Linked DNA regions of Struthio camelus. The protein of the gene in region 3 purifies or fractionates together with the protein of the main gene of each other region. This does not show direct contact. Links are inferred from orthologs where the notes say so. Each region holds a gene or a part of one and is shown on either strand. Other genes may lie near its edges.

The links.
Region 1: the proteins of NOP2 (region 3) and EBNA1BP2 fractionate together in Homo sapiens (co-fractionation; 3 studies listed by BioGRID and IntAct, with this or other methods). This does not show direct contact. The link is inferred for Struthio camelus from reciprocal best matches to the Homo sapiens genes NOP2 and EBNA1BP2.
Region 2: the proteins of NOP2 (region 3) and RPL18A purify together in Homo sapiens (affinity purification with mass spectrometry; 3 studies listed by BioGRID and IntAct, counting the BioPlex papers as one, with this or other methods). This does not show direct contact. The link is inferred for Struthio camelus from reciprocal best matches to the Homo sapiens genes NOP2 and RPL18A.
Region 4: the proteins of NOP2 (region 3) and SRPK2 purify together in Homo sapiens (affinity purification with mass spectrometry; 3 studies listed by BioGRID and IntAct, with this or other methods). This does not show direct contact. The link is inferred for Struthio camelus from reciprocal best matches to the Homo sapiens genes NOP2 and SRPK2.

What each region holds. Positions count from the first base shown.
Region 1 is NC_090949.1:25,306,426-25,313,361, reverse strand, and holds the start of EBNA1BP2 (probable rRNA-processing protein EBP2), read left to right. Parts: upstream 1-3,928; 5' UTR 3,929-4,006; coding exon 4,007-4,090; intron 4,091-4,188; coding exon 4,189-4,272; intron 4,273-4,929; coding exon 4,930-5,096; intron 5,097-6,209; coding exon 6,210-6,333; intron 6,334-6,909; coding exon 6,910-6,936. Other genes in the region: CFAP57 (cilia- and flagella-associated protein 57), read right to left, coding at 505-712, 878-1,164, 3,310-3,632, 3,707-3,863. UniProt on the Homo sapiens protein: Required for the processing of the 27S pre-rRNA.
Region 2 is NC_090942.1:38,551,948-38,558,847, reverse strand, and holds the start of RPL18A (large ribosomal subunit protein eL20), read left to right. Parts: upstream 1-3,889; 5' UTR 3,890-4,011; coding exon 4,012-4,029; intron 4,030-4,442; coding exon 4,443-4,622; intron 4,623-5,229; coding exon 5,230-5,359; intron 5,360-5,982; exon of another isoform or gene 5,983-6,114; intron 6,115-6,797; coding exon 6,798-6,900.
Region 3 is NC_090942.1:90,919,245-90,926,830, forward strand, and holds the start of NOP2 (28S rRNA (cytosine(4447)-C(5))-methyltransferase), read left to right. Parts: upstream 1-4,573; 5' UTR 4,574-4,659; coding exon 4,660-4,765; intron 4,766-4,845; coding exon 4,846-4,891; intron 4,892-4,970; coding exon 4,971-5,029; intron 5,030-5,572; coding exon 5,573-5,832; intron 5,833-6,140; coding exon 6,141-6,184; intron 6,185-6,342; coding exon 6,343-6,503; intron 6,504-7,288; coding exon 7,289-7,488; intron 7,489-7,586. Other genes in the region: CHD4 (chromodomain-helicase-DNA-binding protein 4), read left to right, coding at 158-267, 571-703, 944-1,021, 1,137-1,274, 1,363-1,471, 1,798-1,930, 2,910-3,105, 3,219-3,394 and 1 more. UniProt on the Homo sapiens protein: S-adenosyl-L-methionine-dependent methyltransferase that specifically methylates the C(5) position of cytosine 4447 in 28S rRNA. Required for efficient rRNA processing and 60S ribosomal subunit biogenesis.
Region 4 is NC_090942.1:15,421,528-15,428,791, reverse strand, and holds the start of SRPK2 (SRSF protein kinase 2), read left to right. Parts: upstream 1-4,263; 5' UTR 4,264-4,318; coding exon of another isoform or gene 4,319-4,334; intron 4,335-4,452; coding exon of another isoform or gene 4,453-4,537; intron 4,538-5,051; exon of another isoform or gene 5,052-6,023; intron 6,024-7,264. UniProt on the Homo sapiens protein: Serine/arginine-rich protein-specific kinase which specifically phosphorylates its substrates at serine residues located in regions rich in arginine/serine dipeptides, known as RS domains and is involved in the phosphorylation of SR splicing factors and the regulation of splicing.

The DNA.
Region 1 (6,936 bases), on a different chromosome or scaffold from region 3:
CATCACAGAGTTAAGTGATCTCATCCAGGCAATTCAGTAAGTAAATGCTCTCTCTATAGAACAGTTAGAAATCGTGCTAGATTACTTAATCTGTTAAGAGTGCATAAGTGTCATTACAGTTATAATAAAAAGGATTTGAGGGGAAATAAGCTTTGCCCTGGAAAAAAACAAGCAGCCCAGTCCTTCAGAACTGATGTTCTGCTCAACAGAAAAAGAAAAAATCCTTAAAGGTTTCCTGAAGTTCAGCTAACTCAAAGCCCATTTCTCATGTGGGAACATGCAGAGCTACCTTGCAAAAGGTCAACTGTCATTGACTTTCAGCGAGACCTCTGACAGGTCACTTTGTTTCCGCACCACTAGGACAGTTAGCTAATGCTTATAGTGTGCTTTAAAGATGTGCTAAAATTTATTATTGATAACTGAATCAGAAGCAAAAAGGAAGAGGCCTCAGGTGCGTAACCGTTTGGAAAAGCTTTTCTCCCCCCTTCATAGACAGTCACCTACCCAGATTTCCTGACTCTCCTTGTAGACTTCCTTTTCCTCAGTCTTCTCAAACAGAAGAACAACCCCCGGGCTAGATGAACATGCAAAGCCTTTGGAATAAGCTGCAACTGCACGTATTTGAGGCAAAGAATCCTGCTGTGAGCCATTATCATCAGAGAGCAGATCACAAGAGATATCAGAAGAATCGTAAGCAGGAAATGCAGTAAGACTTAAGAGGAATAAAAAAGGACAAAGCAAAACAAAAATTCATATCAGCAGCAACCAAAATATTATAACCAATTCATAAAATGGACAAAAAGGAAATAAATGAAAGACCTGCAAGTAATTTTCATGCACAAGCATGAATCTACTAGTAATGGCCGCAAAGACTTACCTCCCAGGTTCTTTTGTTGTTGCATCTTCTTCTGCTTCCCTGGGTGGTATTTTGTACTCAACACTTGTCTCCCAGCGCACCTCTCCACTTTCAAATATGATAAGTTTGCCTGTGTCAGTGCCACATACAACCTTCTCCGCAGACAGCCAGGCATGGCATAGGTAGTTTTGCGGCTCTCCCTTTTGTAAATTCGTTGCCTTCAAAGTTCCTTCACTACATCTAAAAAGTTTAAAAATGCCATTTCCAGTGATACAAACCTGTGCATTGTCTTGAGGACTGAAGCTCACCTGTGGAACAGAGGAGAGAGAAATTATTTCATTCGACTATGTACACTCTCAGAGCTTTAAAAGCAAATAAGCAAATATAACACCTGTTCCAAAGACTTCAGATATCAGAAACAGGAAGACAAGCTAGGAAAAAAGGTTCACAGAAAGAGACAAAAGAGACTAAGAAATAACCACCATTACTACATACTGTAGTTTTCTTCTTTTCCAAACTAAGTGTACCAATTTTACACAGAATGTTATAAATAAATTCTATTAAGGTAAGAAGCCAGATGAGGCCATCTGAATCACAATGTAGTATGGAAGAGGAAGTAGATTCTGCCCTTGGGATCAAATGACAGAAGTAAGGCCAAAATACATCTTTCCAGCTGACCAGCAAGTTTCTCAGGTTGCAGGCTATTCATTCTTAAAGGCCACATGGAATTTCTGTATCTCAGGAGAGGCAACTCTTATCCATTACACATATTAATTTGCATAATTAGGTGTTTATTGGTGAAAACAGAGGAGCAGCCGTCTCAACATCTAATATGAAAAGATAGCAGGGGTAGAGAGACCTAGGTTTTCATGCTTAATGGGACTTTAGACAGCAGTGATCTCCTCTTCATTTTCTCCTAGTCATTTTTCCTAGTCATTTTCTCCTCTGCAGGAATGGAGCTCATGAAGTTAGTATTTCACCCAATCTCTGCTTGTAGTTGTACCTCAACCATTCTGTGATTCTGTGATGTGTTAGGCCTACTGAGCATGGCCAATATATTTAATGGGTGTTCCTGCAGGGACACAACAAACAAACTGCATATACGCGGATCAGCTGTACAGCCCACATACCACAGATCTCGTGTGATTTAGGAACGTGGACGTCCATAACGGGTCAATGCAAAAATCCATTTAGCTCAGCATCCTATTGCTGAGAAAGGCCAATAGCAGATGCCAAGAAAGGCTATGGAAACTGTACATAATCTACAGTGCAGATCCCTCTCCTCCCTCTCAGGCCCTAGAAAGAAGCTAAATGACAACGGGAAAACTCAGGACCCCTTGATCTAAACAAATACCAGTTTCTAGGTCAGTAATTATATTATGCTTATCTGTCAGAATGAGACCGGACATAGGACTTAGCTGAGTTGTTTTTTAGTTAGAAATTATCTTCCAAATCTTTAGAAGCTTGAAGGATACTCTGACTGGTGACAGAATAATACACTTTGCACTTATTCTTCAGACTGATGTAATTTCCACATGTTATAGTGGAATATTTAAGGGGCTGTTGATCTCAATTCTCTTGGCTGATTTGTTGTCTACAAGAAACTTTGTTCATTTTTAGAGTGCTAATTTGTGGCTGTTCTAGCTCCCCTTTTTAGAATCCCAAAAGCCTAGAGTAATTTAGGGTAGAAGGGACCTCTGGACGTCATCTGGTCCAACTCTCACCTCAGAGGAGGTCTTACTGGATCAGGCCACTCAGAGCCGCGTCCAGTCAAGTTGTGAGTATCTCCAAGGACAGAGACAGTACATCTCTCTGGGCTGTTTTCAAGTGCTCCACCACCCTCACTGTGATTTTTTTCTGCCTTGATATCCAGGAAGGAATTTCTCGGTTAAGCAGCTTGTGACCATTGCCTCTAATTATTTTGCTGTGCATATCTGTGAGCAACCTGTCTCCGTCTTCTTTACAATTCCCCCACTGGGAAGCTGGTGATAGCAATTAGCCTTTTCTAGGCAACCCCCACCCCCAGCTCCCTCAGCCCCTCTTTATAGGTCAAGTGCTCTCGTCCTTGCGCTCGTGGCAACTCTGAGCTGGTTGTGGTATCTGTAGTAAGCCCTTATTCTTTCTCTAGGTTGTCTTTTATCTGTATCATGACAATTTTTGAGTGCTGCTACCTGGCATGTGGTACTTCTTAATCTGAAATTTCAACTTTTTTCCCCTCCATTTTGAAATGGTGCAAAAGGCTCCCTTGGGCCAACTGCCAAAAGAATCAGTCATCTGTGAATCACAAGATTATGAATGAGTGGCGGAAACCCTTCCAGAACAGCCCAGCATTGCAGCGACTCGGTTTTAAAAACAGACTTGCGTGCATCCCCTGTCTCCCAGAGCGGACGGGGGGAAGCTGGGAAGAGGCCCCGGGCCTGGCAGCGCCCCGATGCGAGGGCCGCAGCCGTTACCTGGCAGAGGCTGCCGTCCGGGGCCTTGATGCGGATGGCCGCCATCAGCCGCTGCTTCTCCCAGAGCCAGTAGGCGAGGTGCACCTCGGGGGGGCCGGTGGCGGCCGCCAGGTAGCGGGAGTCGGGGGAGAAGGCCAGGGACACGAACTCCTGCACCGGGAGCTCGGCGGCGGCGGCGGCCAGCGTCCTCCGCCGCCGCGACGGCACCAACGACACCTCGTGCACCGTCACGGCCGGCTGCTCCGCCACCGTCTCCGAGATGGCCAGGTACCGCCGGTTGGGGCTGATGGCCATCGCCTGCATGCCCTGGCTCTTCTCGGAGCCTGCGGGGAGGAGAGGGGTCAGGGCGGCGGCAGGGCCCGGCCGGCGGCAGGGCCGGGGCCGGGGCCGGGGCCACCTGGGATGAACTTCTGCCACTTCTGCTCGATGTGGAACTGGACGCAGTTGGCCCCCGCCGCGTACAGCAGGATCTGCTCGTCGAAGAAGCAGAGGCCGCCGGCGACCTGCGAGCGGCAGCCGAAGATGGCCACGGGCTGCGCCACCACCACCGACATGCTGCCGCCGCCGCCGCCGCCGCCGCCGCCGCCGCCGTCGCCACGGCAACCGCGGCCCCGGCCCCGGCCCCGCCGGAAGCGGCGGCGTGCGCGCGCGCGGCCGGAAGCGGCGGCGGCTCCGCGTGGTGGGGGGCGGCGGCGGCATGATGGCGCGGCGCGGCTCGCTCTCGGACGCGGCGTGGGACTCGGACTCGGCGTCGGAGGGCTCCGCTCTCTCGGACTCGGAGGTGACCCGCGGGCGGGCAGCGCCGCCGCGAGGGCGCGGGGCAGCGCCGGCCGGGGGGGACCCGGCGGCGGCGGCGTCTGACTGCTCTCCTCCCCGCAGCTCCAGGAGGCGTTTTCGAGGGGCGCCCTGAAGCCGGGGCTCAACGTGGTGCTGGAGGGGCGGCCGCGGGCGCCCAACGACGTGGTGAGCGGCCCGGGGCCTCGGCGGGGCGCCCGGGGGTGGGGCCGGGCCGGGGCCTGCTTCCCCTGGCGGGGGGCGTTGGGCGCAGCGCCGCGGTGGGGAGGGGGCAGAGCGAGTCGGGGGGCGGCCGGGGCCGGGGGGCCGAGGTGGCCGGGCCCCGGCCCCGGCCCGGCGAGAGCCGGGCTGCCCTGGCTGGGCGAGGTGGCCGCAGCTGGAGTTACGTGAAGCGCAGCTACAGAGTCGAGGGAGCCAAGTGTCCCTTGTTTGCAGCAGGGCGTGCGGGAGGGCATGGGGGTCGCACCTTGTGGCTTGGGAAGTTCAGGTTGGGTGTTAGGACAGAATTCTGCACCTGGAAATGGTGCAGGGCTTCAAAGAGTTACTCAGGAGTGTGTTGTAATCTCCATCCTTGGAAGCCTGCAAGACTTGGATGGATAAAGCCAAAGTTGACCCAATCTGCTGTTGGTTTTGGTCCTGCTTCAAGTGGGATTTGGACTATATAGTCTCCAGAGTGCCTTCCAACCAGCATTGCTGTGATAATTTGGGGTACAACCCTACTGCCGTTGAGGACTAGCCCATTTTGTGGCCTGGGTGTTCATTTGTGCCAACCTTGAAAAGTTTGTTTTGTGCCTTGATATTGAGAGCTGTGCTTCCTTTTCGTAGGATGGTTTGAAGCTGTGCCTCTCTGAATTCAAGCGGCAGCTAGCTTGGGTGGAAAGGCTGGATGTGACTTTGGGTCCAGTAACAGATGTCACAGGTCCAGTCTCACACAGTGCTTCTGACAAAGATGCTGTTGACCCTGAGAATGACTTCCAGAGAGAGATGAGCTTGTAAGCGTAAAAAAAAAAGAGATTTCTTGTAGGGTTTCAGCATACTACTACAAGCTCGGAATCCCTTGCCTGTACGCAGTTCTGGTATTGCTTCACTGTCATGTTTCACAGTATCCTGCAGGCTGCTGTACTGGCTGTCGCTGGTATCTTGTCGCTTCTGCTCTGTGTTGTGTGCCACAGCATGCTTTGTAGCACTGATGCATTGTGTGTGTGACAATTTGAGTGAAACACTGAAGCTTGAAATCTCACCTCTTTGTTTTCAGCAACTCGGCTTTACTGTATCACTTAAAAGTAAGAATGCTAATTTTTAATTAAAAAGGCTAATTTTTAATTAAATAAAATAAAATTAAAAATTAAAGTAGTTTTATCTTGCCAAAATTTAACTAGAAAACTACTTCATTAATATTAAATAGTCATATAATATTAAATATTTAGGCTCCTAGATTTCTAGAGTGTTTTCTAACCTGCTCAGTGGTCTTGGATTGAAGCTGCAGTTGTTTGTTGTAGGAATTCTTGAGCAACCTATGTAACAATATCATTCAAGATGCCTTAATTTCAAGGATACTAGAATGTGGGTCCAAAAACACTGTAGGTTATGCAAGTATTTTATATTTGATAGTGCTGAATTTTTGGCAAAATAACTACAAATGGATGCTTTTATGTTTCACTTGTCTTGTGATGGGAAAAAATTCCCTTCCTTGCAGCAAACTCTTCATCATTTGTTGGAGATTTTCTTTAAAAAGTTCCTGTGCTGCAGCACTATGGATATGAATTTTTCTGCATGAATGTGTTATGGCAGTTTTCTCTCTCTCTCTCTCTCTCTCTCTCTCTCTCTCAATTTCTCCTCTCCCCTCCTGGTACAATACAGTGTGTAAAACTGTAATTGAAAACTGGATAAACTGTAAGTGCAAGCTATCAATGTTAACATTGTATTGGCACCTAAATTGCTTTTAGTAGTAGTGGTGCGGTAGGGTACAGAATGTTGCTATAACTCTGGGATATAACAAATATTTATCTAGTATCAACTAGCTGATATGATCAGAATTTCTGTCACTGTTGTGAGATATTCTTGCTACTCAGCGACGTTCAGCTGGTGTTGCGTTGTCTTTCTAGTTACCGACAGGCTCAGGCCGCAGTCCTGGATGCCCTACCAAGGTTGCGTAAGCTCCAGGTTCCTACTAGAAGGCCAGATGATTATTTTGCAGAGATGGCCAAATCTGACCAACAGATGCAGAAGGTATGTGGTTTAAATGATTATTTTCTTTCCTGTGTTATAGATTGGTTTTAGCTTGTGTTGGGTAACTAACTTTGAGGTTTGATTGTGTTCACTTAATAATTACCTTCATGTCTGTGGCAAAGGCCTGTGACAATGTTTGCGTTTGGAATTTGTTCTGTGGTTGTTTAAGTATCCCTTTGGAACGGGGGTGTTTCCGTAACAGGCTGGAAAATAAGGTAGAAGAGTGTAATTTGTAGTCTCTCCTAAGTGTAACTAATACTAAAAATACTTTTTCTCCATGTATGTGAGAGTGCTTGTAAAGTCAGCTGTGTTTGTGCTCTTTGCCCTAAGATTTGCAGTCAACTGTGGCATTAACGTGTGATCTCTTTTCCCAGTTTAAGTCTCACTCTTCATTTATGCTCGGTGTATTTTGATTCTTAGTGATTTTAAACTCTATGTAATTGAACTAATTTATCATGGGTAGTAAGTGGGATTTGGTAGTAGTTTTGTTGTAAGAGGGTTGCACAGCCATCATAAAGTACTCATATTTTCCTTTGCATTACTGACTCATTTTGTTTTTTTTAACCTCCTAAAAAGATTCGACAGAAGCTTAAGAGTAAACAG
Region 2 (6,900 bases), about 52 Mb from region 3:
ACATAAGCGCATTTAAAGTTTGATCTTCCACCACATGCTCTGTTCTAAGAGTTTCAGTTGGCTAGTCAACTCTAGAAGATAGTTAACGAAACAGCCATCTCAGAAGATCACTTCAAATACCATAACTCAATTAAAAAAAAAACAAGCTTTATTTAAAAATAGCTTCAACTAACATTAAGTAACATTAAGAATTAATATATAGCTGTGTAGAAAGTATGAAGTCTCATTTATGCGGAGTTGTTTTGCTCTTTGTTTTTAAACTGGTACACTATGTTTAGTAGTGATCTGATCTTACTACAAGTAGCAGAGCACGGTCCTTTACAGCAAGGTCATACAGGTATACATTCCTCTCACTAACACAGTCTATTCCCTTTCAAGTATCAAATACTTAAAAGGGCAGAGACCGCTTACAGGAAAAAGCTGCAGCAGCTTCTTCCTGGAACTCACGACCAAACTTCTATATGAAAGCAGCATTTTATACTTGCCTGGACTCCAAGAAGGTACACATTCATAGAAGTAATCTACTCAGGGACTATTTTATATTTTGCACAAGAAAATGGTGATTCAGAATCCATACCGAATTATCATGACAGGAAAAATATGAATTGAACTTCAAAAAAATATTCCCCCTCCCCTCCCAAGAGGAAGGTACAACGAAAGTGGTCACACTTCAAGTAGGAAGTACTGCTATTGCAAAAATACTAACACGGTCAGGGGTATGTAGACATGCCTTAACAATGAAAGCTTTCACAGCATTTTGACTATAGATGTTAATGGTTAGAACAATTAGTATTTAAAGAATCTCATTTACAGCACTGTTTTAGTCATATAGAACATTCTGATAGCACACAGGAAGCCAGCTACATACTTCATTTTGATTCCCTTAAATTTTCTCCCTAGTAAAATAAATAAAGTAAAAGATCATCTCTTGCATTCTTTTGAAGCTTGCCACAAGTCTTGAATATATTTACATCCTCTTAGGATCTGAAACCTTTACAATTACGTATACAAAGCATACTTAAAAGGAACATCTCTGTAATGGTTACTTATCAAACTTTTAAACTGGACTAGAAAGTTCTTCCTTTGGGGAGTAACAGATTAGGTCTTGATTTCAGGCATACTCTTACTGGCCAGAAATTCTCTGCGAGGACTCAAGTCTTCTTGCTCCCTCAAATTGTTCTTTAGAAGAGCCAAATCTCCGAAGGGCTCAAAAGCTCAGCCAGCGGAGATGATCGGGCACGCACATCCCACGGCTTCCAGCTCCGCAGCGAAGACACCAGAGCTGTAACTTAAACCTCTTCAATCCCTTCCTGGGGTCACGGCAGAGTGACAAAGCACTCCTCCTACGGCGTGCCGCCGCTGCAGCGCTGGGCGGCCGCGCACGCCGCTGCCTTTCAGCGTGCTGAGAGCAGCTGAGCAGGCAGGTACGTGGGCAGGGCCCTCCCCTCACGCTGCAGTTTAACAGCTTACGGCCACTTTCTCCCTCACCACAGGTATAAGAAGCAGGACACCGACCGAGACAGCTTCCGCACCAGCGTGCGTGCAAGAGCCCTGTAAGCTAAAGCTTAAGTAGAAAAGAAAAAGCCTGGTATTTTTGAGAAGAACCAGCCCCCCCACCCCCCCACCCCCAGCCCTGGCCGCCTCACAGCGATGCGGCAGGCCCGGGGCGGGGGGGTCGGGCAGCCAGGCAAGGCTGCGGCGCCCCCCTCCCCGCTTCCCTAACGGCTGCGGCGGCGGCGTCGGGCGGAGGCGAACCGGTAGGGCGGCTCGGGAGAGCCCGGCGCCAGCCAGGCAAGCGGCGGCGCCACCGCCCTGCCCGCCCCCCCGCGCCGGGCTGAGTCACCCCCTCACCGCGCGCCCCCCACCCCGGCCGTTACCTTCCCGGTCACTCCGCCATCACGGCGGCGCTGCCGGCTCCGACCCCCGCAGCTCCGAGGCCGCCACGAGCATAGGGAGCGGGCCAGGCCGCGCCGCCTCGGTTGGCGGCGAGAGAAGGAGGAGGCGGAGGCGGCCCGAGGGGAGGCGCCGCCGCCGCCCTCGCGCGTGCGAAACGGCCGCCCCGGGAAAGAAAAACGCCCCCACCCTTTGAGCCCGCCCGCCAGCAGCGGGGCGGCTAGCCACGCCGTCGGACTACAACTCCCGGCGTGCTCTGCGGCCCCCCCTCCGCGCCTGCGCGAAAAGGAGGGGCCAGCCACCCGACAAGGCAGCGACGAAGCTTTCCGCACTCACCTCCCCTCTGCCACCCGGCTGCGGGCCGCAGAGCATGCCGGGTTATACCGCCTCCCTGGCCGCGCGGCGGCCCCGCCCCGCCCCGCCCCGCCGCGGGGCCCCTCGGGAAAGCAGGGGCGGAGGCGGCCCGGCCCGCCCGAAGCGCGGGCAGCGGCTGCTAATGGCTGCTAATTACGCTCAGGCAGGCACGAAGGCAGCGTGGCGCCAGCTTCACCCACCGCTTTGGCTAGGCAGGATGCCATCGGCGAGGCGGGCAGGTGCAAGGTGGAAGTATTTTATGCGCACCCAAGAGGCACCGTGTATCTATCAAAAATGTATTTTTTCCCCTAAAACACGCTTTACCCGCTAGTCGTTAAAGATGAAGTTTTAACAGATAGCTACGAGATAGTCCTGCGTGTGGCTGTAAAGTCGCTTAATCGTAAATCAAGACTCATCTGCTCCATCCAGAAGCTCACTCTAGATCTTGAAGTTTTGTTTCGTTCTCCCTCCTTTGTATGTCATCAGCAATAAAGCTGAAAGTATTAGTAGCTGGTCATGTCACTGCATGTTAAGCTAAGACACAACATATTCCTTTGAAATGATGTTAGCATCCTAATTCTGACCAGAATAACTCGTTCAATAACTGGCACAAAAAGGGCCTAAGCTCCCATCCTACAAAAGCACCAGCACACACTCATCTTTAAGCAGACGAAGAATGCAACGGATCTGACTGCTACTAATGTCACATTGGTCTCTTTTCTGCAAATTTTTGTGCCACCATCAAATTTAGGAGTGTTTTAGCATGATTAAACGGGTGCATGTTTGTAAAATGAGACTTAAAAGAACAAACACAAAAGAAGTGCAGTAATAAGCATTTAGGAAATTATTTGCCTCGCCAGAGCAGTTTGTATTGTTAATAGTCTCTTTCAAGAAAAAAGAAAAGTTCCAAAGCTATGGAAGGACAATTTTCAAAACCATAGCCCACACAACATTTAAGGAGAGACCCTTACCCATCGTTACTGCAGAGCCATTTCTAATTAACAGTACACAGGAGTACAACCATTCAGGAAAAACTATAGGGAAAAGATACCACGTCAAAAACAAACCATAAAATATGGTAAACGATACCATACTAAAACATCATAAAAATATAAGATTGTAGCGCTGTTAGGGAATTCACATTCACTGCAGCTTGCAACCTCATTCTCTCACGGGATCGCCGGCCAAGGGCCACCTCTGGGCGCCGTGACCTGCTGCCTCCCCTGCCTCTCACGACGGCAGCACGGGGGGAGGCAGGACGTGAGTCACCTGCCCGCCTCGGACGCGGACACGCGCAACACGTGTTCGTGCCAAACCGGGCGACGGATCCGCCAAAAAAGTCATCGCCACCAAAAATCCAGCAGTGCCGAAGGGCACGGGGCGGCCCTGCGCGGGGCACGGCAACGGGGCAAGCCCACGCGCCGAGAGCCGCGCGCACCCGCGGCCGCCCTGACAAGGCGAGAGGGCCGCAGGGCTGCGCGGGGGTGGGGGAAGGGGGAAGGGAAGGACGAGGCCCCGCGGGCCCGGCGACCTCCCGCCGCCGCCGCCGCCGCCTCTCCGGCCACGCGGGCCCCCCGGCTCGCCCCGGAAGCAGCGCCGGGCGGCCGCTCGCGCAGACTGACGGCTGCCTCGCCCAATCACGCTCTGCCCGCAGCCAATGGGCGGAGAGGGTGCCGCGGGGGCGGGGCCTCCCGCGGGCGGGTGGAGGGACGCTCCTGCGCGTTAGCTCTTTCCTTTTCTGGGGGCCGCCGAGGAGGCAGCACCATGAAGGCGTCGGGCACCGTGAGTGAGGCCCCGCGGCCCGGGCGCGCCGCTGGTGGGGTCGCGGCGGCTGTCGGGAGCGCGGTGGCGAGGCCTTGCGGCGCTGGAGCAGGGCCTCCGGGGGCCGCGGCCCGGCCCGGAGGCGAGCAGCCAACATGGCGGCGGCGCCGCTCCTAGCCGGCGTGTGAGGAGGCCGCGGCGCCTCTGGCCGGGGATCGCGGCCCGGGCGGGCGGTTCCGCTCCGCTCCTCTTAGCGGGAGCCGGTGGCCTCTATCCTCGGCGGTCCCCCCTTGCTCCCGCGGCTGCGTTCTCGGGCGGAGGCGCGGCGCCTTGCGGGGGGCAGAGTGGGCCGGCGCGGGGGTCGCTCCGTCGCGGCGCTGTGGCGGGCGGCGAGCAGGAGGTTCACTGCGGCGCTGTCTCTCGTCCCCCTGCAGCTGCGGGAGTACAAGGTGGTCGGGCGCTGCCTGCCCACGCCGAAATGCCGGACTCCGCCTCTCTACCGGATGCGGATCTTCGCCCCCAACCATGTTGTCGCCAAATCCCGGTTCTGGTATTTCGTTTCCCAGCTGAAGAAGATGAAGAAGTCTTCTGGAGAGATTGTGTACTGTGGCCAGGTACGACATAGAAAAACCTGACACTCTTGGAGGCTTTTCAGGAATTCTGGCTCGTTTACGTAGAAGGCATTTAGATGAAATACTGTTACTAATGAAGTCGAACTCTTTTTTACCTTCAGCTACTGTGAAGCTGGGCAGCCCCCTGCAAGTGATTGCATGTGTCAAATGAACTAAAAAACTTAAATTCACAACATTCAGAATTCTGCTAAAATAGATCACTACTGCAGGTAGTGCTGTTGTCTGTTTTTTATGGTTGCTTCATTATGGCATATATCTCTTAGGAACCATCTGGACCTTCATAATCTTTGGAAAATAGATACTTGCTTGCATATACTCTCACATTTTGTTGCTTGGAGAACGTTCTTTTCCGTTTCCTTCAAAGATGATTTAACAGCTGAAATCTAAATGTATTTTTTCATTTCCACATTGAATTACCAGAGACTTCCCTGTACTATGATGGTATGGGGAAAGAGAGCAAATAGTTGTCTTGGACATTAAAGCTATCTGTATTGCTTTACATTACAGCTGTAACATGTTTATTCCTAAACTTGTAAAATGCTGATAATGTACTGTCTCTAACCATTTCTGTGCCCTTGTGTAATTCCAGGTATATGAGAAGTCCCCTCTGCGGGTAAAAAACTTTGGTATTTGGCTACGCTATGATTCTCGTAGTGGAACTCACAACATGTACAGGGAGTACAGGGATTTGACCACAGCTGGTGCTGTCACTCAGTGCTGTAAGTACATATAACCATTTGAGATAAAATGTTAGGACCGGTTTACGAGCAAAAGTTTAAATCCTAAACTGGTCGTAAAGCTTAAGTAGGAGTGCTGACTTGATCCATGATAAGGTAGCTTAAACACTGGAAAAATAAAGTGGTGGGAAGCTGCTGGAGAAACCCATAGATGTGTAGGTATAATGTATGTAGTATTTTGTTCGTTAGCACTCCTTAGGCAATTTCTGTAGCTGAAAATATTCCCACTTGATCTCGGTGTGACTCTTTACAGTTCTAATCATCAATTTTGCTATATAGGTGAAGAGTTTTGAGACTGTTAGGGGCTGTATATATTTCTTGTATTATACTTACTGTTAAAAATAATCAAAAATATTTTTCCAAGTCTTTTGAAAAGATTATTGCTGATACTATGTGGAACATACTAGGATCTGGCTTCTGGAGAGCTAGGTTTCCTAAACACTGTTTTTTCCCTAATTTGCATTGCTCAAAGATCTAGTAGTCTCAGTTCAGAGAGCATCACGGGTTGCTCTGATTTTTAGTCTGTTATCTAAAGGAGTTGAGAGAGAGATCATTTTTATAGCTGAGGCTGTTGACATTTGAATTCAGTGTTCAAAACACTGTAAAATGCACACAAAAACCCAAAGAATATTGTTCCCAGTAATGATGTTCTTGTCATGTGTGCAAATATTATATGTATCTTGTCGCCTTTCAACAGCTGAAGTGCTATTGAAAGTGAAATTTAAGGTTCTACATGTAACTTATAATACGTTCTTTTAATTAACATACTGTAGGACTACTTAAGAGGTCTGAGAACCTACTTAATTTGTCATTACGTAATGACTTTGATACCTTTATGCTCCAGACTGCTTTTGAAGGATAGGTTTTTAATGGGTGTTTTGCATCTTCACAGGAAGTACTGTAAGCTCAAGAATATTTAGCTAGCCATGTCTTATGTGCAAAATAGCTATTGACGTTGTGGTTTTAAGGTAGTGATTAAAAAAACAAAGCTAGGAACTGCAGTTCTCTTTCCTTGCATCTGCCTCTTGGAAGGCGAAGGGAGCGTTTGTTGAAATTCAGTTCTTATTTTTCCTGTAATGATATTTCAGTATTGATTCTGAATCACCATTTTCTTTTGCAAAACATAACAAGTCCCTGAGTAGATTACTTCTGTAAATGTGTACCTTCTTGAAATCGGGCAAGAATAAAATGACGTTCACGTAGAAGCTTGGTCATACGTTCCAGGAAGAAGCTGCTGCTGCTGCATGTTGATTCTCCGGTCAGTGCTTCAGACATCACTGACTAATAATACTCTTTCTGATATGCGGAGTTGCCTGAAAATTTGGAAAGTGGTGGACACAAAAAGATGGTATTAAAATTTTGAACTGGGAATGTCTTAAGTCATTTTAGGATTTATTTTTAATGAGTTCGGTTGTTACAGATCGTGATATGGGAGCCCGTCATCGTGCCCGTGCTCACTCTATTCAGATCATGAAAGTTGAGGAAATTGCTGCTAGCAAGTGCCGTAGACCAGCAGTCAAGCA
Region 3 (7,586 bases):
AAGGGGTTTCCTCTTGAGTGATGTTGGTCCCATTTGGATGGGCCTAATCTCTGGGAGTGAAGGAGATGTGTGCTTGGTTACAGTGAGGGGAAGACTTTACTGATGGCTTCTCTCCTTCTCTTGTGCGCCGTGCTGCTCTGGGGTGGGGAATACACAGAAGAGGGAATAAAGGTAGAAGAAGGAGCAAACACCAAGGAGCAAGGAGAGGCAACTGAACCAGAGAAAGAGCTCAATGCCTCTGCTACTGAAACAGAGGTTCCTATGGAGGTGAGTGCTCAGTTGCTTGTTTGTCTCATGCAATTCCAAATATCTCTACTTCTGCCTTACTTTACTGTGTAATAAAGCTTCTGTGGCAGAGCTGAGTTCTGCCTAGGACAACACTGAAAGCTAACTCTCAGGTCCTTAGAAGAACTGGCCTGACAGTTTTGTGTATCTTCCCCTTGGTCTGCTTTGTAAGACACTTTCCAAACTGCTTTGACTGTCTTCTGTTGATAGTGCTGAAGTAGTTCACTGGCTTTGACCATATGCTGCTTTGCTTCTCTTCTCATTGATGATTTCTGTCCTAAGCAGTGTGCTCAGCCTGTGGAGACACCACCGCAGGAAGCAAAATCTCCAGTGAACCCTGCAGAGGCAGATGAAAAAAAATTAGAGGAACCAGAAGTGAAGGAAAGACCAGATGAGCCCATGGAAGTGGAAAGCAAAGGTATCTCTAGGAAGGCTAAGACCCTTAACAGCAATTAAAAAAAAAAAAAAAAAAATCACAAGTAGTATCTTCAAGCTACTCTTCCCTGCCTCAATACTTCACCCTAAAGAAACAGGCATGTGTAGATAATCAAGGGGGCTATTTCAGGGCTTTGAGCAGGGAGGCAGGGAAGTGTTAGGTTTCACAGGCTGAATTCTTGGACTTGCCAGCTACATCTCATGTTCCCCTCCTTTTCTGTAGCTGATGTGGAGAAAGTGGAAGACAGAGCATCTGTTGAGCCACCCCCTGAACCTCCTATAATCACTCTGGATGAGAAAGGTGAGCTATGATGATTCCATTCTTTTCTTTATCCCCTCTCCAGCAAGGGTTCCTTGTGGGTCCAACTTGCTGTGGTATCTGCCATATCCTTCCTAATTGTTTCCTATGTGTACAGAAGAGAAAAGGGATGATGATAAGAGAGACGTGGTGATGCTGCAGAATGGAGAGATGCTGAAAGAGTCAGTAGATGAAAGGCACAAGAAGGCAGTAAAGCAGCGCTTCATGTTCAACATAGCTGATGGTGGCTTTACTGGTATGAGACCTGTATGTGCTTGAACTTATTTACCTGCCTCTGCTTGTCTTGGTGAAATAATAACTTGGAACTCTTCTTGCCTTTCCAGAATTACACTCCCTGTGGCAGAATGAAGAGCGGGCTGCGACTGTTACAAAGAAGACCTATGAGATCTGGCATCGGCGTCATGACTACTGGCTCCTTGCTGGGATTATCAAGTATCCTTACCCTGACAGACGAGCTGTCTCCCCTTCAGAATAAGCCCTCATTGTGAAGAGGCAACCCCTTTGGGTCTGCCTGGGACACGTTAAGTGAGAGCGCACTTTATCTTTCACAAGAGTCCTGGCTTGGTGGGAGGAGGGGTTTTCTGTCAGCACAGTTAAGACTTGGTGAGCAGGATGCTGCTCTTACTGCTTTTCCTTTGCCCTTGTTTCCCCTCTTCTCTGCACCTCCTTTCCCCACCCCTCTTAAGAACTGTATCTGCCTGGGCTGTGCATTCCCTTGTTCTCACTGCCTTTGTTTGCCTGAGCTCATCCCATCTCAGTCATGGCTATGCCCGTTGGCAAGATATTCAGAATGATCCACGTTACGCCATCCTCAATGAACCCTTCAAGGGTGAGATGAACAGGGGCAACTTCCTGGAAATAAAGAACAAGTTCTTGGCAAGGAGATTTAAGGTAAGGCTCTCTGCTCAGTGTGACAAGTCTTTCAGCCAGCTGGACCCCTGAGAGCAAGACAAACTGTCCTGTTGAGCTCGGTGTTCTGATTTTCCACTTAGATGAAGGCTTTTGCAATCTTTTGTGTTGATGGCTAAAAAGAGCAATATTTGTTAGGATCCTATGGTAGCTTCATGATAGGAGCACTTTACCCTAGAAGCAGCATGTTGGGGAGCTTGGTTCAGCGCTCTCTAAATGTTTCTTCAGCAACTGGCATTCAGGAGGTGTTAGTGTCTGTTTCCACCACAGCTTCTGCTTGGTGTGCTACAGCCCACTCAATATGCCTAAGTAGAACTTGGAAACATTGTATAACATTGGATTGGTGAAAGGGCTGCCTTCAGTCTCTGCCTAAAGTACTTGTGAGTGACCATAGTTTCATTCTGGAGGTGATTTGGGAGCAACCCGTGTAATTCTGAATGAATATTTTGCCCTGAGATTCAGTGTAGTTTGGCTTATCTGCTTTGCACCGTCTAATCTGATATCTTCAAATGTCCCTGTCTGGCATGCTTAACAATTTTTAGACTCTTACTGTAAGTAGTTCGGGATACTTCAGTTCAAGAAGAAAGCTCCATCCCCATTGCCCTGTACAGAAAGAGTTTTTAAAAAAAAAAAAAAAATTTCTGCTGTATTTTGAAAAGCCTTTAAGAATCAGTCATGTAAGCAGAGGAGTAAGAATCCTGGAAGACTTGCTTATTTTTGTTATTAAATGGGCTAGGACATGCCCTGTTTTTCTTACCTGGCTTAGCTTAATGGAGCCTTTGTTTTGTAATATTTAGCCTTTATGCCAATATAAGCAGAAGCCTGGGAAATGAGGTTTACCTGCCGAATCTCACCTCATGAGAGTGGGGAACTGGAACAGGAGGCAGCAAGTGAAGGGTGCAAATAGCCTGCTTTTCAGGCAAATGCTGGAAGACTTTACTACTTACCCTGTCTGTTGCAGCTCCTGGAGCAAGCACTGGTGATTGAGGAGCAGCTGCGGCGAGCTGCCTATCTGAACATGTCGGAAGACCCATCTCACCCTTCTATGGCTCTGAATACACGTTTTGCAGAGGTGGAATGCCTGGCTGAGAGCCACCAGCACCTATCCAAGGAGTCAATGGCTGGGAATAAACCGGCGAATGCTGTGCTGCACAAAGGTGATAGCGTGTTAAGCAAGGGTGGATATTTGTTTAGTATTGCTGTCCCCTTTGGCCTCTTCCCCAGGCAGGGGCAATTTCTCTCTTTGAACCCAAGCCTCTTTTTCTTCCAGTTCTGAAGCAGCTGGAGGAGCTTTTGAGTGATATGAAGGCAGATGTGACTCGTTTGCCTGCCACCATTGCCCGTATCCCACCTGTGGCAGTGCGCCTCCAGATGTCAGAGCGCAACATCCTCAGCCGACTAGCCAACCGCAGCAGTGAACCCCCTCCACCACCACCTCCCCAGCAAGTAAGTACTCTCTCTGAGTGAGCAGCCCTGCCTGGCTTGTCTATTGTATGGAGGAGTAGGGGCTCTGTAGGGAGCTGCCCTCGTGAGCTAGGGTATATTGACGAGTATTGTGTCTCAGATGGCATTGTCTTTTGCCCTACAGGTGGCCCAGCAGCAATGAGTCCCTGGCCCAGTGCTGTTGACCTTTTGGCCAAGCTGAAGTGACCCACCCCTTCACACTCTACCCCTCTGCCTGACATTCCTGACTGGGTGCTGTTTCCCTCCATGGAAGCTGCTCTACAGGTCTCTGGGAGAAGGAACTCCTTCTGCAGCCAGCTGTTGGAGGAAAGAGTGTGCTTAGGAGAGAGGGGGATGTATGATGGACTCTGTATATAGTGACTGGAGGCCACAGCGCCCTGTCTGTTACATGGAGAACCTGGCTGTGTTGCTCGCTGCCTCGGCCTGGAATTCCAGTTTTTGTTTTTAATTTTATTTTGAGTTTGTTTACTGAGATGAGTGCACAGGTGAGACCAAGCAAAAGCCAGGACAGAGACAAAGCTACCTCCATCAAAATCCTTTTTAATACAAAAACTGACTGGACTTGTCCACTAATAAGCAGCTTGAAGGAAGGAGAGAAAAAAAAAAAAAAGGAAAATCTTGATAGGACTGAAAAATAAAGTTTCCTTGTATTTTATTTTATTGCCTCTAATTTAGCTTTTCTGGAGAATGCTAGATGACCAAGAGTGACCAGCTGGCTCACTCCCTCTCCCTGTATTATTATCAGCAAACTACTGCTGCTCTTGTCCTGTTGCCCTGTAAAAAGCAGGGCTTCTAGTATGCTACACCTTTCTTGCATTGGCACTGACCCCTCTTGCTGTTGCCTGACGCTTTAGTCATTTCCTAGAATTTCACTTGGGTCTTTGTCATTACAACCTAAAGCCTACGCCTGGTGAAGCTTGAACCGTCTACCGTTCCCCTGACGCTTGCAGCCCGCATACCTCTGCCGCTCCCGGCCGCGGGCGGCGCCTGCGCCCGGCCGAGCCCGGGCCACGCCACGCGCGGGGGCGGGGCCGGGGGCCGCTGCCGTCACAGGCTGGGCCGGCGCTCAGCCACTCGGCGAGCGGCGGAAGCGGTGACCAACCAATGAGCTGGGCTGCCCGCCCCGGGGCAGGGGGCGGAGCCGCGGCTCGGCGCGTGCGCGGCCGGGGCCGGGTGGGGGCAGGGCGGCACGTGCGGCGGCGGCGGGGGAGCGCGGAGCCGGCTGCGCCACCCGCGGCCGCGCCGCCATGGGGCGGAAGCTGGACCCCGCGCGGAAGGAGAAGCGCGGCCCTGGGCGCAAGGCCCGCAAGCAGCGCGGGGCCGAGGTGGAGCTGGCCCGCTTCCTGCCGCCAGGTGAGCCCGGCCCGGCCTGGGGGCGCCCGGGCAGCGCCGTCCCGGGGCCGCCGACCTAACGGCGCTTCTCCCTCCCGCAGAGGCAGAGCCCGGCCGGAGGAAGCTGTCCAGCCACGGGCGCAGGAGGTGAGGGCGGCGGCGGGGGAGGGCGCGGGGCTGGCTCGGGGCCGGGCGCCGCTGACGGCCGCTTCCCCTCCCGCTGCAGGGCTGCGAAGAGGCGGCGGGCGGCGGGCGAGGAGCGGCGCGGGGGGCGGGAGCCCGGAGGTGAGTGCGGGGCCCCGGCGGGCTGCCCCGCTTCAAGCCAGTCTTTCCACTGAGTTCCACCACCTGCTCTCCGATGCAGCGGGGAGCGCCTTTAGCAAAGGAGAAATCGGTAAAAAGCCCCCCTCTTCTGTGCGTTAGCCTCTTTCTGCCTTTTATTCCGCTCGCGTCGTGGGTATCGTAAGCACCTTGGGGCGCTGAGGCTTTTAAGCGTGCTGCGTTAAATCACGTGCGTCCGAGTAAGCTCTCACGGCGGGAAGAAGGGATAAACACAGATTTGAGAAATAGGGCTGCTGCGGTATGTCAGGACAGGCACTAAAAAGACTTAGTAGCTGTATTTTTCTTTGGCAATTCTAGTCGTTTCTTTTTCGGGTTTGGTTGGGGGGGGATCTTTGTGCTTGAGCAAACCAGTATGGGGAGCAGTCTCTTCTCTTAGACAAGCAGCTCCGGGCTAGAGTGAAGGAGGCTGCTTTGCATAACAAGTCAAAAACTGGGAGAGCTGTCATATAAAATACTGCCTAACTTAACTGCTTATTCTGCCTGCAGTTAAGGAGCAGGTATCCCCATCGAAGGAGAAACACCCCAAAAAGGTAGTAGCGCAACCCCATCGTTGCCAGTCTGGCTTCAGCGATGGCAATTCAAAATGGCTGACTCCAGCCAAAGCCAAGAAAATCCAGTCTGAAGACAACAACGTGGAGTCATCCAGTGATGATGAGGTGGAAGAGGGCACCTGGGAGATGGAGGAGGATGGGAGCAGCGAGGAGATGGTCGATGATTATGGTGCCTCTTCCTCTGAGGAAGAAGAGGTATGAGCTTTTTGCCCTCGATTTTGCAGAAGAAACTTGGCTTTGCTGGCTGTAAGGACCCAGCAGCCCTGGTGGGGAAAGGGTAACTTTACTGGAAGGCTGGATGGCGAGGTGGAGAACAGCTTTATCCTTCTTCCCTTCACAAGAAGGGAATTTTAAGTTAGCAACTGGTCTCAGCAGAACACTCAATGCCTTCATCTGTTGTTCTTTTTAAACAGAGCAGGTATATTTCATAGAGATGGCACAGATTAAAGGGGTAGTTGATACTAGCTGATACTGTTTCATTAATATTTTGTCTCTCTGTTTAGTTGCTGCCCATTGAAAAAGCCGCCCTGAAGCAGAAATCTGATAGGTGAGGATTTGAGAGCGTCAGGGGTCAGCACAGTCTTTCCTGGTTGGAACACGAGGAGCCTGGGTTGTTCGTTCTTCTGTCATCCAAGAGATGATAGTTGTAAAGTGTCTGAGGAGTCCTGCTATTGTGTAAAAAAACTATATTTTTTTTATACCTAGGGGAGGCCTTAGTGAAGATGACAGTGAAGAGGAAGAGGTGGCAGAAGAGGCAGGCAGGCAGAAGAAGGAGCAGAAGGAAGAAGAGAGTGCGGATCTGCAGCTCAATCTGGATGTAGATGAGCAGTTCAAATTGCCAACTGATGAACAGATTGAGAGAGAGAATATCCTTTTCATCTGTGGCCTCTGTAAACCACGTAGCTGTGCCACTACAGAGCTTGAGTGCAACTGTAGAGCTTCATTTACATTTTATTATGAGCGTTGGTGCCTGACAAGCCGTTTTTAGTTGAATTGCCCTAACAGATAGTGGTAGCTATGTGGTTCTACACCTCTGTACAGCACGGTCAGGGAACCTGTTATTCCCTGTATGGAGCCTGGACCTTGCCCTCAATCTTTTTTTCCAGTCCTAAATGCATGTGGGTGTCTATCGCATAGTTAATTCCCTTCTACCTGGATTCCTGGGTATGTGTTTGTCTAACTCATTCTTAGAGCCTCTGATGACAGCAATTCCAGCATCCAAAGCGCGTGTTCTTGGGCTTAAGTGATCTTTTTCACCTCTTTCTTCTCTACTCTCTCTAATTGCTTCTGGAGAACTTTTAGTCTCCTTTGCGTTACAGGAAATGTTTTCAGTATTGAAAAGCCTTTTCCACGTGTCTTCTTCCCACCCCTTTTCTGCTTTTCTAGACTAACCAAACCGAATTTTTGCAAATACCTTATTTTCCCTGCCTTGTGCGCTTCCTTATCTGGTTGCTATCCTTTGAATCTCCCTTCTGCCTAACTCCAGTGAAAGCGTAGCAAACGATACATGGTAGATGTGCACACTCCAGTAAGGCCTTTCTGGTGCAGGTGCTGTATGCAGTGACTCAGGAGTTTTGCATGACTGGCTGTGCTTTTGAAGGGCCTGCGTGTGAATTCCTTGGTCGTTTACAATTCTTAATGGTCCTTCTACCTGCTGAGCCGCCTGACCTGCACATCATTCACCAGCGCATCAAGAGCAACATGGAGGTGCTGCAGGACTTTGGGGTGAAGCGAGAGGAAGGACGCACGCGACAGGAGTACCTTGCATTGCTGCGCCGGGACATGGCTGCTTACTATTCCTACAGTGACTTCTTGCTCAAGAAGCTCATGGACATCTTCCCACTTCCTGAGGTAGGATGCTGCCCAGCCCATATCTTTACTGACTGGTGGGGATTTGGCTGCCTCCCTAGAACTTCGTTTTTACCTGAAGTTCTCTGGCCCTTCCATCT
Region 4 (7,264 bases), about 75 Mb from region 3:
TCTCTTGTTTGTTTCCATTCTGTGCGAGAGCAGCATGAAATTGGCCAATATCCTGATTTCTAAGAAAGTGCAGTTCAGGGAGCGTGCCACCACACACTGGGAAAAGTAATGCTGAAATGAACTGGTACATAAATCAGAACTCCAGGGCAGCAGCTTCTAACATCTCTCTGCTCAAGGAAGAGTTTTGTATTATTCTCAGAAAGCAGACAATATGATATTTATAGGATTGCTGCTAGGTTATTTTTTTATTCTGTACAAATGTATTTCACTCATGTCTGAAAATTGAATGCCTCTTTGTATAAGTGAAGTGTTTTAAAGTTAGGTGAAAAGGAAACGAAGCACACATCTAGCAGGTATCAAATGTCTGGTTCAAACTACATTATAAACAGGTAAAAATATAATCTCATAATTTGACATTTTCTCCTGCCTCCCCCCTAATATTTGTACCGAAGATCATCTATACCTGCTGCTGCTGCTGCTGCTGCTGCTGTTGTTCCTCCTGTTGGGGCAGTCATATGACTAAACCTCACCGTGCCCTTCCCCGGAGTGAATGAGCTCTATGGTAATCCTTATAATTAAACAGGCACCTGTTCCAATATTATGTTCAGGGAGAGACAGCCAGACCCAAATACATTCTGTCCCAGTCCATTGTCTTTAATTTATATTGTTTATTTATAAAAGCCTTCTTTCACTATTCAGGATATCCTCTCTCTTGACTCATTGTTGATTTTTGAAACAGTTAAGTATATATATAATATATATAATAAGACATAATGAAATAAGAATGGAGAACTCCACTGAAATGAGTGAATTCGAATAGATATAATGCAGGGTACGTTTATTCTTAATGACCACTCTCTGTATTTTTTGAAATGGAGTCCCTTCCCTTTAGTCTCCCTTCTTTATTTTTGTCAAACGTAGACTGATCCAGTGAATACTTTATCACATTAACCTTATTCATGTGAGCAGCTTGTTTGCCTTCGCTGAAAGTACCTTTACTAAGGTTTTCATAATTAAGACAAAAACCTGAGTCTTTCATTCTCTTTCGAATTGCTTCACAAATTGCAAGCTCAAAGGGAATTACAGCATATTTTTAAAGAAATATGAATCTGAAAAAATACACAAATCTATAAAATGAGGTGGTTTAACATACCTCACATTATTCCATTAAATATTTGACCCTGAACTTTCACTCCCTGCTTGGGTCCTCTGGAATATGCATAAGCCAGGAATATGCATAAGCCACACTCTCAGAGTCTGAGAAATACAGTTTCCTGGTTTTCAAAATATGTTTAGCTTCTACTAACCTTAATTTACTCTCCAGTTTAGTTAACTGCACATGGTAAGCCTCTATACGTACATATGGAGTCTCAGTGAGTTTTTTGCACTTCTGTGTGAGCATCGTCTAAGAGGCTCTTCTGAAAAAAAAGAAAAAGCAGGAAGAATACAGTCCAGAAATATATGTCCATTGGAATGGAAAGATATTGACTGTGTGGAATACACCCACCTGATCCTAACGTAATTCCTTCCCTCGGCGCTAGCAGATTGTTCCCTCACCCTGATTAGGTTGCTGACATTATGTTGCCTGTGAGGGAAATTCCTTCCTGACTCCAGATTTGGCAAATTTATAACCCTGTTGACGTAAGCAAAGCTCACTGATGTTATCTAAGACCTAATTGTCCAATCAGTTCTACATACAAATCTCCTATTGAAGTAAATAGAATTACACATGAGTAGCTGAAAAGACGTTCGGGACCCTGATACGATTTCCACTCCATAGCCATGGCTACAAGATCGCTTTCAGCCAACACTGCCACTGAAAAAGAAAAAAGTAGTCTCACCATTTTCTCCACCAACCGCTGCTTGTTTCTAGCATCTTCTATAGAGGCACAAGTATTTGTGCAGCAGCACAATGAACCAATGAAGCTAAAAATAGCCTGGACAAAAAGGGGAGATATGTAATCTGCTTTTCAACATTCAAATACTATTAATTTTCATGCATCTACATTTTCTGAGCAGAAAGCCTTCGCAATTTCAGTACAGCCTTCTGTTGCCTGATCTATCGGACTGACTACATTGCTGTGCTATCATATTGAACTGGACTAACCACAGAAAGGGAGACATGCAGCATGCTAACATTACATGTTACACAATAATAGATTCTACTGGAAATGTTTTTTTTCCTGTGATCTTCTATGATGGAGGATGCAAAACAAAAACTGTTTTGATTTAGAAATGCAGCTGTGGTGCATCATGACAGTTGTAGCTTAGGAGCTTTGTGGTCCTATTGTTTTCTGTCTGTTAGGCTCTCCAGTCGGACAGAAAGTATTATATATTGTGGTATGTCTGAGTTGTCTGGCTTTATATGGAACCTGCTAGGAAGGAATGGATGCTATCTTTCTGTTCCTGTCCTGTTACTAAGCTGAACTGACTGCAGCCAGGGATTCAATTATTCTGTCTAGCTGAAACCTTTATGATCCAATTACATAAGACTAGTGATCGCTGCCCGTTACCTTCACTCATCATACCTTGACCACATCTCCTCTGAGATCTTCATCCTTGTGGATTCTTTCTCTTGGCATTTAGGGAGGAAGGTGTGCCATCAAAATGTAATAACTGCCCACTGTTACCTTTCTGTCATTATGCCTTTGAATTCCAGTCTTACACGGAGATAAAGGAGAAGCTAGACGACTGGAGTTTTCAGTATGGCCCAGATCATCTTCTGCATCAAGCAGAATTTATAGACTACACAAAATCTCCAAATCCTAACACTATTCAAATGTAGCTATGCAATGCAAAGCACAAATAAGAAGTGGCAATTTTCAACAGGTCATGACTAGGCCAAATCTGAATAGAACCTGGTATCATGAGCAGCAAGACACTGTATTTCTGTTACGATCTGCAGAGAGAAAAAAAAAAAAGTAGAGTTAAATAACTGTCAGTGATGCCAATCAACGAACTTAGAACCAGAATTAAGGACATCTAATTTCTCTGGCTTTATGTCATGAGGGTAATTGGTTCTGGCATGTAACCCTACAGTTTCGTGATAAGCTAAAGCTGATCCAGCTTCAGGCGGCTGCCAAAAGGGCAGATCGACACTTCCGCTCCCACTAGGCTTTTCTCCTTCTCTTTTGTCCACTCTGAGCAATTACGCAGCAATGGGGGAGGGAGGGGGGATCAGCTTGCTATCCCAATTGCAAACTAGTATTTTTTGGGGTTGGCAGAATTAGTTTTCATTTGGTTCACTGAAGTGGTAGAACTCACCGCACAGATACCCCGGTGAGGGGCCTGGGCCCACGTAAGGGGCAAAAGCAGAGCAGTTGATGGGAGAGCAAGAATGTCCCCGTGGGTAGCGGTATAACCTTACGTACAAGGTGTGAGTACCTGCTCTGCAAGTACGAGTAGTATCTTTTCCCTTTATCAGGTCCTCTATTTCCTAAAATCTCCAAGAAGACAATTTCTTTGAAAACCTTATCAAACGGGATTGAAATCAGCTAGGGGCTTTGACAGCTATTCAGCAGGAACTGGCAGCATAACTCTCATTGCGTGGGAAAGCCAGGTTAAGAGCGGGAAGAAGCTCTTGTACGAGGAGGAGTTGAGCGCCGGGCGCCGTTCTCCTGCGGAAAGCACTTGCACTCCTCGGGCAACAGCACAGCCCAGGCAGAGGCGGCAGGCTGGGCTGACCAAGGGGAAGAGCGTCATCACCCCGTGCTTGAATGCATCCCCCTTTTCTGTATATATATATATATATGTATATATAATATATACATATATATATATATTTTAATACACAGGGGAGTAGTATTTTACATAAATAAGCCCCCAGCGAACTGCTTGCAGAATCGCTTGGTGAGACGCGACGGAGCCCAACAGGTTCCAAGTTAAGGGCCGGTCACGCCAGGTAAAGGCCTCGGGTCCTCGTCCTCGCCGGGCGCCAGCCAAGAGGCGCCCCGGGGCCCGCGGGTTCACCGGCGGCCCCAGGCCCGGCACCGACCTGCCCCGCCCGCTCAGAAAGGGGGGGGGGCGGCGGCGGCGGCGGGGGGCGCTGCGGGCCGCCAGGTGCGCTCCCGCCGGGCCCGCGCCGCCACCTGCCGCCGCCCCGCCCCCGCCCTTCCGGCCGCGGCCCCGCCGGCAGAGCTGCGCCTGCGCAGTAGCCGGTCGGGGAAGGGTTTGCGGGGGGGAGGTGCCGCCGCTTTGCCGGCCGGTGCCCGGCGCGCGGACGCGGCTGGCGCGCGGTGGCGGCGCGCGGACGCGGCGCGGCGGGAGGGGCGGGGCGAGCGGTGCGCGCGCGGAGGAGCGCGCGGCGCGGCGCGAGGCGATGAGCTCGCGCAAAGGTACCGGGCCGGCCGGCGGGTCCCGCGGGGCGGGAGCGAGGGGAGGGCAGCGCAGCGCAGCGCAGCGCAGCGCGCCGGCCGCTAACCCCGCGCTCTCCTCCTTCTCTTCTCCCCGCAGTGCTGGCCCTGCAGGCCCGCAGGCGGCGGCCCAAGCAGCCCGCGGCGGCCGGCAGGAGGGACAAGCACCCGCCGCCGCACAAAAAGTGAGTACGGAGAGCCCGGACCCGGCGGGACGGAGCCTCCCCCACCCGCTCAGCGCCCGCCCGCTCCTCCCCAGACGGAGCCTTCCCCTCGGCCGCCGTTAACGTTGTCCGCCCCCCCCCCCCGGCTAGGATCCCTGTCTCGCCGCCGCCGCGGGGCGAGCCCACCCCCCCCCCCTCCGCGGGACACGCGCCGCTCACGCTTCTCCCGCCGGCGGCGGTTTCTTTCCCTCCCGTTTTTTGCCCGCCCGCTCCCTTTCCCGGTAACGTCTCTCAGGTTTTGCTTCCCCCCCCACCGCCCCCCCGGCTGGTTCCCCCCGCCGAGACAGGCGGCAGCTCTCCCGGCGGAGCCGCCCCCTCCCCCCGCTCCGTCTCCACAGAAGCCCTGTGGCCGTTACCCCTCCCCCCGCGCCGCCGCGCGCCGCCCCCCCCCCGCCCCCCCCGCCGTCGGGTGTGCGGGACACCCGGCTCGGCCCCCTCGGGGAAGGCCTCCCTGGCTCGCCCTGCTGGCACAGACCTGCCTTCCTGCCCCGAGGGAAACCTGCTCTGAGGCACTCCTGTGTCCTCTTCCCAAGAGCGCTGCGATACTTTTCTCCTAGGGCTTCTGAGAAACCTGCGTTTGTTCGGGGATGTGCACAGGCTTGGTCTTTGTCGCCATCACCTCTCGTGTCCCTTTCAAACTGCCCCTGGACTTCTCTCGCCCTAGCGGTCTTCCTTCTCTCGTGGTGCTTTTTGTTCTGTGATTTCTCTCTTGCTTTACTGGTATCGTCCTGTCTATAGACAATCCTTTTCTTAGTTATCCCCCTAACAGCCCTATATACCGTTCCTGTTCTACACTTTCTACTTGGTGCTTTGAGATTATTTCCTGTTTCCACATGTATCTCACTGCCTGGGAATTCTTCCGCTAGTGCTTCTTCTAGGTGAAGCTCTTTCTCCTGTGAGCGCTCCTGCCCTCTGTGACTTCATGTCTTTTTAAAATCTCTTCCGGCTTGCAGAAACTGACTTCTAATAACTGTCTGTTTTTTCCTCTTTTTTTCCTGGTAACGCTTCATCATCTTGTCACTGTCCTGTTCGTTTTTTCTCATTCTCACAATAGCCATTTTCACTGAAACGTTTGTTTTCCCGTCTCTGTATGCTCATGCTTGAACTGCGTTTTCCTAGGAGTCCTTATTAGGACACTGTGGCCTTGGACTTGCTTTACTTTTTGTTCTCACAGGATTATGTGTTTTTCCTTCATTAACTTTTACTGTGTTCTGTTCAGTGAGACTTTATTGCCATGATACCTCATCTAGACTCTTGTCTTTGTTTTTGTACCTTGGGGATCTAGTCTGACTACTTTACTCTGACAGGGAGATTTGTTCCACAGATGTTCCTCATCTCGCTGTCTTCTTAGTCTGCCAGTCTTAAATCTAGGAAGCTGGACATGATGGACAGATGTGTATTTATAGGTGATGGGGTAAAGATGTTGTTATGTGTCACAATAAATTATTCCAGGGGTGATTTTTTCTTCTTTTTGATTTCTGTAGAAAGAAATAAAAGCACTCCTCTCCCTCTGTCCTGTGTGGGGTTTTTTTTTTTTTTTTGGTAATAAGATTCCCCCCCCCCCCTTGAGGTATGTAAAAATAATATAGGATGAAATGAAATTCTATGGTGGTCGTCATCAGATTTTGACAGTTAACTTTCATCCACACCCTGCCTGCTACTGCTGTTTCCTCCAGTGTTGTATGAAAGCTTTGTTGTGCTTTCAGTTGTGCTTTCAGTTATATGAATTTGTTACTATTGTGAAGGAAACAAATTTTGCATACAAGATGCACAGTATGATTAGATTAGTTCCATTGTTTCCAAAAGCCTTCAGAAAGTCAGTTTGTAATATTGCGTGGATGTGTTTAGCCACTTTGAAAACAGAAAAATCTCAGATTTTATTATAACTCTAGATTCTGAATTGTATTTGTAGCTTTCAGTTGAATCTTAACCACAAGATTATTAATACCTTACTGTTTCAGTTATATGATAGAGTGTTCGATATGTTTCTAACCAGGGTTGCCTTGGGATGTCTTGCTGAATGAGGTCGTTAGAAGTTTGCTTTAACAGACACAAAACTGGTATTCTCTTCCAGTTTGCTGAAGAAACTGGCTACTGTTAAGTCAGGGTGCACAGTCAGTAGCTGGCTTTTTGCCATACTGAGTCGGCATTTCCAGATGCAATGGCCCAATCTGTTCAGTTGCCCTCGGGAAACAGTGGTTTTGCTGCCGTAGACAATGGCGCCATCGTTTCTTTGCTACTACATATTATTCTTTTCTCTTCAACCCCCTTTTATGCTATCTAGACCTTTTTATACTTCTTGGGTAACTCTTTCAAAATTTTACATCTCCTTGCATATGGTTAAATAGCTTTACTTTGTGGGCCAAAACTAGTATTGGACATTATTTTAGAAAATAACCTCAGCAGAAGTAGCCCTTTTTTTCTGCTGTTTCCAGCCTTGCTTTAAATCCAACTGCTACAGCATATGCTAGTATGTTATAGAACTGTATATCATCTGTGATGCACGTTAAATATGCAGTAGTTGCAAATGAAAATGTTGATTTAAGGAGCGGAAGTTCTACAACATAAGATCTTGTTTCACAGTTTTGAATCCAAAGCTTTTTTTTTTTCCCTGTAGCTTGTAGGAAGACCCTTGTCTGTTGAGTCATAGCTTTACAGAGCAACTTCCATTGTTGCTGGCAACAATGT